3 linked regions of the Xenopus tropicalis genome follow. The protein of the gene in region 1 purifies or fractionates together with the protein of each later gene. This does not show direct contact. Links are inferred from orthologs where the notes say so. Each region holds a gene or a part of one and is shown in the gene's direction. Other genes may lie near its edges. The genes, in order: ewsr1, ddx17 and dhx9.

Evidence for each region.
Region 2: the proteins of ewsr1 (region 1) and ddx17 purify together in Homo sapiens (affinity purification with mass spectrometry; 3 studies listed by BioGRID, with this or other methods). This does not show direct contact. The link is inferred for Xenopus tropicalis from reciprocal best matches to the Homo sapiens genes EWSR1 and DDX17.
Region 3: the proteins of ewsr1 (region 1) and dhx9 purify together in Homo sapiens (affinity purification with mass spectrometry; 3 studies listed by BioGRID, with this or other methods). This does not show direct contact. The link is inferred for Xenopus tropicalis from reciprocal best matches to the Homo sapiens genes EWSR1 and DHX9.

Annotation. Positions count from the first base shown.
Region 1 is NC_030677.2:144,953,062-144,956,715, reverse strand, and holds part of ewsr1 (RNA-binding protein EWS), read left to right. Parts: intron 1-1,470; coding exon 1,471-1,507; intron 1,508-2,205; coding exon 2,206-2,257; intron 2,258-2,389; coding exon 2,390-2,516; intron 2,517-3,654. UniProt on the Homo sapiens protein: Binds to ssRNA containing the consensus sequence 5'-AGGUAA-3'. Might normally function as a transcriptional repressor. EWS-fusion-proteins (EFPS) may play a role in the tumorigenic process.
Region 2 is NC_030680.2:120,521,952-120,525,824, forward strand, and holds the end of ddx17 (probable ATP-dependent RNA helicase DDX17), read left to right. Parts: intron 1-1,263; coding exon 1,264-1,497; intron 1,498-2,400; coding exon 2,401-2,816; 3' UTR 2,817-3,224; downstream 3,225-3,873. UniProt on the Homo sapiens protein: As an RNA helicase, unwinds RNA and alters RNA structures through ATP binding and hydrolysis.
Region 3 is NC_030680.2:100,157,598-100,161,251, reverse strand, and holds part of dhx9 (ATP-dependent RNA helicase A), read left to right. Parts: intron 1-272; coding exon 273-319; intron 320-399; coding exon 400-536; intron 537-759; coding exon 760-849; intron 850-932; coding exon 933-1,094; intron 1,095-1,188; coding exon 1,189-1,263; intron 1,264-1,454; coding exon 1,455-1,646; intron 1,647-1,737; coding exon 1,738-1,879; intron 1,880-1,958; coding exon 1,959-2,041; intron 2,042-3,654. UniProt on the Homo sapiens protein: Multifunctional ATP-dependent nucleic acid helicase that unwinds DNA and RNA in a 3' to 5' direction and that plays important roles in many processes, such as DNA replication, transcriptional activation, post-transcriptional RNA regulation, mRNA translation and RNA-mediated gene silencing.

The DNA of each region.
Region 1 (3,654 bases):
ATCTCCCCGTGTACCAGAGCCCTGAATGTGCACTGATCCATATAACAAAGGGGGTTATGTAATAAAAGGCACTAAGTTTACCCAGGAGCAGTAACCAATAGCAACCAATCAGCAGGTAGAATTTACTGGTTGCTTGTTTGAAAACACATCTTATTGGTTGCTATAGGTTACTGCTACTGGACAAACTTAGGGGCTGATTTACTTACCCACGAACGGGTCGAATGGAGTCCGATTGCGTTTTTTTCGTAATGATCGGTATTTTGCGATTTTTTCGTATGTTTTGCGATTTTTTTGGATTCTTTACGAATTTTTCGTTACCAATACGATTTTTGCGTAAAAACGCGAGTTTTCCTATCCATTATGAAAGTTGCGTAAAAAGTTCATCATTTTTCGTAGCGTTAAAACTTACGCGAAAAATGTGCAACTTTTCGCGTAAGTTTTAACGATACGAAAAATGATGAACTTTTTACGCAACTTTCGTAATGGATACGAAAAACTCGCGTTTTTACGCAAAAATCGTATTGGTAACGAAAAATTCGTACAGAATCCGAAAAAATCGCAAAACGTACGAAAAATTCGCAAAATGTTCATTTTCAAGTCGGAACTTTTCCAATTCGGGTCGGATTCGTGGGTTAGTAAATCAGCCCCTTAGTGTCTTTTATTACATATGGGGGAAAAAAATGTCGCCTGCATCTATTTACCTTCACATAATGTTTACTGGGGTAGTCCACCTTTAACCTTTAGTCTGTTAATAGCATGGTCTTTTTTTATTTATAGTTTTTGAATTGCTTTCCTCTTGACTCTTTCCAGCTTTCAAATGTACCGACTACAATAGTAAAAAAAAAAAAAAAAATTCAGCCTCTCATTCAAACCACTGCTAGGGTTGCTAGGGTAATTTGGGCCCTCATAACTAGGTAGATGTTGAAAATTTACACTGAAGAATGCTGAGCAAAAAGCTAAATTCAAAAAAATTACCACCAATAGCAAATTCTCAGAAAAGCATTCTCTACAAATTACATAATGTTAAAGGTGAACAACCCCTTAACCTGTGAACCACCAATATAACCGAAGTCTCTTTACATTTTTTTTTTTGTATGTTTTATATACCGTTAGCTTATGTATGCAGCACTGTACAGCAGAACAATAAATTAATAGAACGAGTCATTACAATAATAGATACAAACCACTACAAAGTACAGTTTCATTAAATATTACTCAGTGAAGAGTCCAAGAGAATGGATGTCCCTGCCCTGTAGAGCTTACAATCTAAGTGGGTGGGTAACTTGTAGACCCAAATAGAGGGATATAAAGTGCTGCAGGTTTTAAAGTGAGCGTTAAATATGCTTCACTAGAATGTTTTTACAGGGTTGTTAACCACAACATAACATAAATGCATTGTTATTGATTATTGGGAATGTATAAGGCTGTGTAAGTTGCTTTTTTAACTTAGCTTTATTTTTTCTGTTATAGATTACAGCACCTATAGCCAAACTGGAGCCCAACAAAGGTAATTTGGTTTAGCTATTTGTATATATTATGAACCATGCATTCAGAAGCATTTCTGTGCATTGTTGGCTGAAATCAGGTTGAACAAGGGGCCATTCTGCCACTTGCAACACTACTCTTTATACCACCAACAGTTTATGCTGAACATACTTTTTGTTTTTTTTGTCAAATCTATATTTATTTCATTAGCTAAACAGAGCAATTAAAGCTACTTCGTGGTTGGTCCTTGCAAGATACATCACCAGTATACAACCTCCTCCCTTCCCCCTTTGATGTGACAGTTTTGTTAGCAGAAGTCCAGTGTGTAAGGGGGATTATCTGAGATCTGGTAATCTAATTACCTTGCAAGGCCCAAACATGAAGTTGGCTTTCCTATCTAGCTCAAGAAATATCAAACTGTAGATTTACATTTTGTTATTCTGTGGGATGTTTAGAGTAATTTTAAAGACAGAAAAGAAACGGTTTACTTCTTCTTTGAAGTGCTATTGCAGTGAAATGTCAAAAATAGAATGTAACATGGTAGATCCTTTTCAGTTGATCTCACGTTATAAGGCATGCAATTTTCCTTTATACCAAAAACATGCGCTGGCACTGGTCACAAATGTTATGAGCTGTTAAGCCTAGGTAGGAATAGGAGTGTATTTGTACCTGGCTTGTATAACTTTATTCAGTGCGTTTTTTTTTTTTTTCTTAATGCAGTTACAGTGCATATACTGCACAACCAACTCAAGGCTACGCACAGACTGCACAGGTAATCATGTTATAAAGCATTTTAGTTCATTGTAAGAATGTGCTCTGAATGTACTTGATAAGCTCCATTGCCAACTTTAAAAGCTAATTTTTTTTGTTGAAAAAAAACAAACTTAACAATTCATTTTTGCAGGCAACTTATGGGCAGCAGAGTTATGGCACCTATGCACAGCCCACTGATGCCAGTTACACACAAGCACAGACAACAGCCAGCTATGGCCAGTCTGCCTATGCCACTTCTTATGGACAGCCACCAACAGGTACCGTTAAAGGGCTTGATGTAGCTCTTGCTGAAAATGTTTTATTGTTGAAAGTTGCCATGTTGTACAATCAGTTGATAAAAGCAGGGGCTGCAATTATTGGTGGTTAAATAAATAATTTTTTATTGCAGTGTTAAAGGAACAGTAACATCAAAAAATTACAGTGTTTTAAAGTAATTAAAATATAATGTGCTCTTACTCTGCAAAAAACTGGTGTTTTTGCTACAGAAAAGCTACTATATAAACTAGCTGCTGTGTAGCCATGGGGGCAGCCATTCAAGCTGGAGAAAAGGCACAGGTTACATTGCAGATAACAAATAAACTCTGTAGAATACAATGGCATTTTATCTGTTATCTGCTAAGTAACCTGTGCCTTTTCTCCTTTGAATGACTGCCCCATGGCTACACAGCAGCTTACTTATATAAACCTATAGTAGTCTTTCTGAGGCAAACACACCAGTTGTAGCAATGCAGGATAACAGTACATTATATTGTAATTACTTTTATACACTTTAATTGTTTGGTGTTAGTTCCTTTAAATGCTGCCTTCCTATGTAAGGAGGAGGGTTGGGTATGTAGGGTGTTACTGGTGTAGGGTCTGTTTTAGTCATGCACATCCACTATTTTAGGATCTGGCTGAACCCTGAATCCTTTGCGAAAGACTAGATCGAATACCAATCCAAATCCTATTTTGCATATGCAAATTAGCATAAGGGTTAAAGACAACCACGCAGGAAAAATTAACATTTACGTGTTTATGACAAAAAAAATCATGTGATTTTTAAGGATTCGGGCGAATCCTGCTGAAAAAGACCTAACCCTGGAATCAATGCATCCCTAATCTGTTTTTAAATGATGCTTAGGATAAGGCTCCGCAAAGTGGATTGTCAGCCTGCGTATAAGCGCAAGATGCCAATCCGCCCGTACGCATGAGAAACCTGAATGTGTCTGCACCCGGAAGCATTGCAGGCGCACGTAGCATATATCTGCCAACTAACGCAAGTCTTGGAGTTTACTGGTGAATTCAGTGCTTCTGGGTGCTGGCACAATTAGAAGATTTTTCAAGCATTTGGGCATGTTGTCAGCCTGCCTCATAGGCCCTTGTCCTTACCCATCCAGATCTACAATCAAAATGATA
Region 2 (3,873 bases), on another chromosome or scaffold:
CTTTTGGCTGTCAAAGCAGAAGAATAGCCCTTCTGCCCTTCTTCAGACCTTTTGTGGCTACTTCCTAAACTGTTTAGTTCCTCCTTTCTCCCTGCCTGCACATGCAGGATGTGGCAGTGTGCGTGACTTCCCATTCTGTCATGGAGAACATAAGAAAGTGAGCGCCCTAGAAACCTGTCATTTCCTTTTAACACACTAAACTAATGGACAGAGCAAAAATTTAATTTGTTCATCCTATTGGTTTCAAAGTTATTCTTCCCTCCTAAATAGTGGAACTTTGTTCTCCCATTTTTTCCTTTTTTTAAATTAATATTATGCTGTAAATTAGCCAAACCTGCAGTTCTTGTGAGTGACCTTTCTGTAATAAGAAACAGACATTTATCCAAACTTCCCTTTTGGTAAAATCTGATAATTAGCAGCTTTGTCCACATCCACCTTTCAAAGATTTTAATAACTTTATTGATGGCAGATGGTGAGTGTTGGAGGATGGGGTCTCTCTTCGCCCATTGACAGGTTCACAAACTTGGACTTGGGAGAAGGGCTCCCCCACAGAAGTATCTCGCTCAACCAGTGCACCTGTTGGGACCTCTTGCTGCGCCTGGACCGTTGATGCATGCTCCCTGCTCCAGTGGCCCCTTATCCAAGGATGAAGGGCGGCGACACCGCCATGAGCCAAAAAGACGGGATTGGCGACTGCTGTTTCCCTACCTCACTGAGGGAGTGTGCATCGGTCCGGACACCAGCTCTTCTGAGGAAGAATCCCACTAAGTTTAATTTAAATTATTTATGGTTTTTAGTGCTTTAATGGTTTTCTCTTTTAGCTTTAGGATTTTAACTGGTTCAGTGTCAGTCATCTCATATCTGATGTGTTCAGTTTGGGCATTATATTAGTTACAGTTTATGGAATAGCTCTCTGAACTATATTGTCAGTGAATTTATCTTCAATGTTTTCTAACATAATTGTGACTGGTAAATAGTATTATGCATCTTTGCATATGAAGCCCTAATCCATCTGAAATGGTCAATATTCTGATTTCTAATTTAAGACTTCAGATAAGAACCAAGATAAAGGCAGCTTTAGCTTTTGGAACAGAAATTACAGGGAATCACAGTTTGCCTAGACACTCTAAGCTTTAGTCACTGAAGTGTAGTAGAAATCAGAAATAGTTTGAGGCAAGATTTTTCTACATTTACTAACTTTAATCTTTGTCACTCTTCTGGCGTGTGTATTTCCTACACGTCAATTTCCCACTCAATTTTTAGATGTGGAGGATATCAAGTTCGTCATTAATTATGACTACCCAAACAGCTCTGAAGACTACGTACATCGCATTGGCCGTACTGCCCGTAGTACTAACAAAGGCACAGCTTACACCTTCTTCACACCTGGTAACCTCAAACAAGCCAGAGAACTGGTAAAAGTTCTAGAAGAAGCAAATCAAACAATCAACCCTAAACTAATGCAGCTGGTGGACCATGGCCGTGGCGGTGGTGGAGGTAGGTCATTGCCCTGAGGTTTGTGTACAGTATATAACTAAATGTGATGGTTGGATTTGAAGTTGTCTTTAAGTAACAAGTGTTAAAAATCTTAACTACTTATTAATTTAAATGTACTCTTCCACCCTGAGTAGCAGAGTGTAAGGGAGGGGTGGCTGGTATAAAGAGCAGTATACAGCTTTCACCTCTGCCTTAGGACAAACGCAGCTCACAATTAAAATCTTAAATTATATTTAGATAACAAGTGTGTGCTGGGACATGCATAAAGCAATATATCAATACAAAGGAGACTACCCAACAATTCTGGGCATGTGTGGCCTGCTTAAAGCAGTTTGGCCTATTTCAACTTTACTGACTGACCATCTAGATGTGTATGTCAGTTGAGGGATGAGCTTTTGACAATCCTGTGATCCTGATGGATGGCAGATGAAATCTGTCCTGAAGATTTAGAGCTAAGCTACACAGGAGATGTAGAATGGTGGCAGGTTGGCTGATTACATCCTTGCATAGGTCAAAATATAATGGGACTGATAACAAAATCTGATGTGTAATGTATATGGCAGATTTGTCATCCGGCAGGGCACTCCACTGCAAGTTGTGTCCGACAAGGTAAAATCTGATAGTGTCTAAAAGACTTTGTTGGTTTTCTTCGTCAATGTAGATGCGTTAACAAAACGCACCATCTTACTTCTGATTTGACTTACATTACAGCAGGAGGGATCAGATTGTGTAGCATCCCACTTTTGCTGATAAACAATGTTGGCAGGTGCATTGGAAGCTGAAGAAAGTTCTTAAACTATTCCTCTTTAGGTCTCTTCTTTCTGTAATGTGTAAACAAATGTATTTCTTTACTGTTTTCCTGTGTTTAAACCATATGTTAAAAACTGCTCTAAATCTCTCTAGGTGGCCGATCCAGATATCGCAGCATTCCCACAAATAACAATCCAAATATGATGTACCAGGAAGAGTGTAACAGAAGAATGCATGGTAAAGATGGAGGAAGACGTGATGGGAGGAACAATAACCGCGATGGTGCTATTTCTAACAATCCAACCGGGCGAGATCAGAACCGGCCAAATTACAGCTACGGTGGCCAGGTTTCCAATTTCCAACCCAACCAATACAGCTACGGACAGGGTGGCTTCACAGGAGTAGCTAACAATTATGGCACAGCAGCATATGCCCAGGCACCGCAGCCACTGATGTCACAGCAGTTTGCCCCACCTAGCTCCTCTGGCCTATTGAACTATATGAACCAGGCAGCCAGTTATCAGTATCCCCCTCCTCCTCCACCACCACCTCCACCTACACGTAAATGAGTTCTTCAGCCTTTTTATCTTTTAGCCTGTGTTACCAGTTGATGTAATACACAATTTCCCTCAGTAAGCTTTATGTTTTGTTGCATTTTGTTTTTCCTTTATCTTGATCACAGCAATGTTTGGGAATTAGACTTTTCCAATCTTTGAAGCTGTTCTTTAAAGTTAGTGTTCAGGATTCTATGTGCTTTGTTCTGGCAGTAGCCTTAAGATGACTTGATGTATTTGCAGGGCTTTTCGGTTTTTTTTTTTTGTTTTTTTTTACCTGTTTTGTTTTTTTTTTTTTTTTTTGCCAGAAAGTTTTGAAAGCTACTGTGGCTGCTTTTTTCCTTTTTTTTATTACTCCTGAGTTATTCCAGGTAGGTAAAATTCCAGACTGTCAAGCATCATTCCTCCCTTATTTCCCTGTCACCAAGACTTTTTTCTCTGTATTTATAATTCCCTTGATTGGTGTATAATCCTCCTTTCTTCTGGGGGTGGGGGACATCTACAGTGTTATGCCTCTCCTAAATACATTGACCCTCCCACTATATAGACACTATTTTGGCATTTTTGTTGCCATGTGTGACAAAGACAAAGGTAGGTTCTTTTAACAAGCATTAATAAGTTCACATTAGTTAGATTTATTTTTCATGGCAGGTTGTCTGTACCTCTCATCTCACTGTTATTTCAGCTTCTGTGTTTTGTGTTATAGTTGCATTTCTCTCAGGTGTAATTTTGTTTTTCAGTTACAGATAATGCCCCATACCTTTAAATAATGTTACCATTCTAGTTTGCTGGAGTGGTTATTACATTTTTAAAATTCATTTCTCTAAATTGTCATGAGAACCATCTGACACCATTTTGTAGATAATAAATTTTTTTTTAAAAAAAAAGTCACCATGTGTACCATTGTTTTATTAGAGTGGTGCTTTTATTGATCTCGCTGTAATATTTAAAGCATAACATTCAAATGTTCTGGCTATCTGTCAACTCTATTCTCACCAGTGTCCATTTCTGAAAGTGTCACGGATGGAAAGACTGAAGCAGCCAAACTGTCTTGGTTAAAAACATGACATTA
Region 3 (3,654 bases), on another chromosome or scaffold:
TGTACATGAACATTTTCTGCAAAAATCAGCTCCCATTTGCACAGTGACAGGCTGATGCTATTCATATCACTAGCCACACAGTGGAAATAGTGTATTGGCATTTTCTTTGCCAGCAAGAAACAGCATTGTGTGCCAGAGATGGAATATATGATGTTTTAGGCTGGAACTCTTCTTTATCTGTGCTTTTTCGGTGACTCCCTAACAAGGTGAATAAATGTGTTACGTTTAGGTCTGTACATGCTTTCCTAACACTCTAATAAATGTTTTGGCAGGAGCTTTATTGCAGAAATGACCCTGTATGTTAAGCAGCTTGGAAGAAGTAAGTTCCCCAACTAAATATGCCATATGTATAGAAGGCATCTACCTTTGTACTCTCTAAACCTTTTGTTTAATATTCAGGAATCACGGCAAGAGAACATGGATCTAATAAGAAATTGGCGGCACAATCTTGTGCCCTTTCAATTGTCCGTCAGCTGTATCATCTAAGTGTAATTGAACCATACTCAGGACTGACAAAGAAAAAGGAAGGGGAGGCTGTAAGTTCCTTGTAGATAACCATCTGCATTGTAAATATTGTTTTTTGTTATCTTTGGATTATAATTGTCTCAAATGCAAAGTTTGTGGGTAATCTTAATTGTGATTCATATAATTAACTTAATTTCATTAGGAATACCCCAAAAACATTCTGAAACAAACAGATGCTGCTGCTTCTAAAAATGCTGTTATTACTAAGATGATACTAATGTTTCTGTCTGGCAGGTGGAACCTTATCAAGTGAACTTAAATCCTGATGTGGTGAAACAGCTGCAGAGTACTATTCAGGAGCTAGGAATTGAGTTACCATATCCAGTAAGTGTTTTGTAGTGTGCGTTTTTTTTCCCCTTTCCCTTTTTTGCTTGTTTTAATATAATTGCTGTGTTTTTCCATAATAGCCCCAGGATCCTAGCCAACCTGTGTCCCTTAATTTGGGAAAACTGGTACACTTTGAGCCTTCACAGAAGCAGAGTCACTCTGGTGTGGTGCCATGGTCTCCCCCACAGGAAAACTGGAACCCATGGACAAGCAGCAACATTGATGAAGGACCTCTGGCATTTGTAAGTTTTGTAGTTTCAGAAAAATAAAATGGTTGAATTTGCCTTCTTTTGGGTTAAATTTTTAAAGTTACATTGGCATCTACTTTCTTTAAAGGCTCCCCAGGAGCAGATCAGTGCAGAATTAAAGAATGAACACATGTATCACATGCAAGATCCTAACATGAAACAGGTTGGTTGATTCAGTTTCTAGACTATGCAAAAGTTTTTATAATTGTGGCTTTTGCTAAGCCTAGCACCACTATTTTTTCTGAATGTTTACAGTGCTCAAGACTGAACTGTAAAAACATTTGTAATCTATAATGTATTCAATGGTGTTTTAATATGTATTCTTTCAGTGAGTTCTTGCCTTTCACTTTTTAGGTCTTGATTGATCGAGAGTCTCTTCCTGTTAAGAAATTTGAGGAGGAAATAATGCATGCTGTGCATAACAGCCCTGTTGTAATCATCCGTGGAGCAACAGGCTGTGGTAAAACTACACAGGTCCCACAATACATTCTGGATGAATGTATTCGCAATGATCGTGCAGCGCAGTGTAATATTGTGGTTACACAGGTATAGTTCTGGAAATCAATTCTATGTTACTTAAACATAAAATAACATAAATGATGCAGTGGGTAGTGAGGTCTTTTTTCCTTTTCTATAGCCTAGAAGGATCAGTGCAGTATCTGTTGCAGAACGTGTTGCTTTTGAAAGAGGGGAAGAGATTGGAAAAAGCTGTGGCTACAGTGTGCGTTTTGAATCTGTTCTTCCCCGTCCGCATGCCAGTATGCTTTTCTGCACTGTGGGTACGTATTGCTTAATAATGATGGTTTTCCTTGTACAGTTAATTTATTTTTCTCTTGACAATATTATTAATATTTTCAGGAGTCCTTTTGAGGAAACTGGAGGCTGGGATAAGAGGAATTAGCCATGTGATTGTGGATGAAATTCATGAGCGTGACATTAATGTAAGTTACTCATTAAAAATAATTGAAAGGTTGCTTGGCTATGTTGATCTAACTATAACATTTTAGTTAAAGACTAAATTTTCCCCTTCCCACTTAGGACCCTCAGGCTGAGTAGCCATCTCATGCCTATGTTAATTATTTATCTCTACCACTGTTCAACAATATCCTAAGAAATATTAGTATAGTGTATTAGAAAAAAAAATATCCAAGAAATATGCTACTTTGTTTGCTGCAGGTTTTTTAAGAAATGTTCTGTCTACATTTATTGTAAAAGATTTTCAGTTTTAAGGCCAGCTGTCCCTTTAATATCTATTGGCAGAAGTTAACTCTTATAGTAGAGTATTTATAGAGGCCTTACTCCGTACTGATGCTACTGCATAAGGAATATAGTGTAAAGAATTCACATCAATATTTATATACTTTTGTATATGTTTTATTACTACAAGTCTAAAGGACATGTGAACCCCAAAAATAATTTTTTGCCTAATAAGAGAAAACATAATTCTAAGAAACTTTCCAATATCAATTAATTAAAAAATATTAGTGCTTTAAAAGTTATTTGTAAATATAATTGCTATAGAAAGCAGCATTTGCTGAACTCCTGGTTGTTACTTTTGAAACATTATTACAAGTGCCAGGCTCCTCCAGCAAGGCAGGTCTGTAAAATCTGCTTGCGTTTGTTACATTGTTTCAGTCGCCAGAGCACCCAAGGCACAGAATGGAATTAATAGCAGTTATGTTTCCCCTGACACTTTAGTAACAGTTATCTATACAAATAACTAAAAAAAAAACCATTACAGATATGTAATAAATATATATTGCAAAGTTGCTTAGAATTAAGTTTTCTTTTATTAGGCAATTTTTTTTTTTTCGGGTTGACAAGTCCTTAAAGCTTTATGTTACATTAAACCTTCCCCAAAAGCACCTTTATAAAAAAAAAACTGATTATTTGGCTGTCAGGTTAATGGCACACTGTGCACTTTCTCTGCCCGTGACGCAAACACTGATGCTGCCCCACCCCACCTCTGCGCAGCAACAGGCATGGTTTCACCTTGTATCATTACTTTTAGCGCAGTCTATGTCTAGCATGGATAGACTTTTTTTAATGTACACCTCAAGCATTTGAAATGGTACTTGAATTACTTGGTCACAGATAGACAAAACATGGTATTAGCCTGCAAAAAACTAAAAACCTGCTGTGAACTTCACAATAAAGGTGTTTACAGGCTAATATAGCTTTATGTCAAAAGTTCTTTATCTTTTTTTTTTTTTTAGATCAGCTCCAATGATAGGTAGATTTGTTGCAGGGTATCTAGTTGTTATGCACCCATCCCAGTGGTTCTAGTCACTTACCTTCTGGTGGTCTACTTTGCCATAAAATGCGCTTGCCTGGGATATTAGGGAGGGAGCACAATCTCTTTTGGCTACATTCAGCTGAATGCATGTGTGGTAGAGTAAAATCAAAATGTATAAGTTAACCTTTACTATGCATGCACACATGCCTGGTATCAGAGAAGGAATTGCAAGGAAGGCAGCCATGGCAGTGACAATGGGAAGGTAGCAAGATTGCAGCTCCCTGACACCTGTATTGCTAAAAGTGGTAGATATCAGAA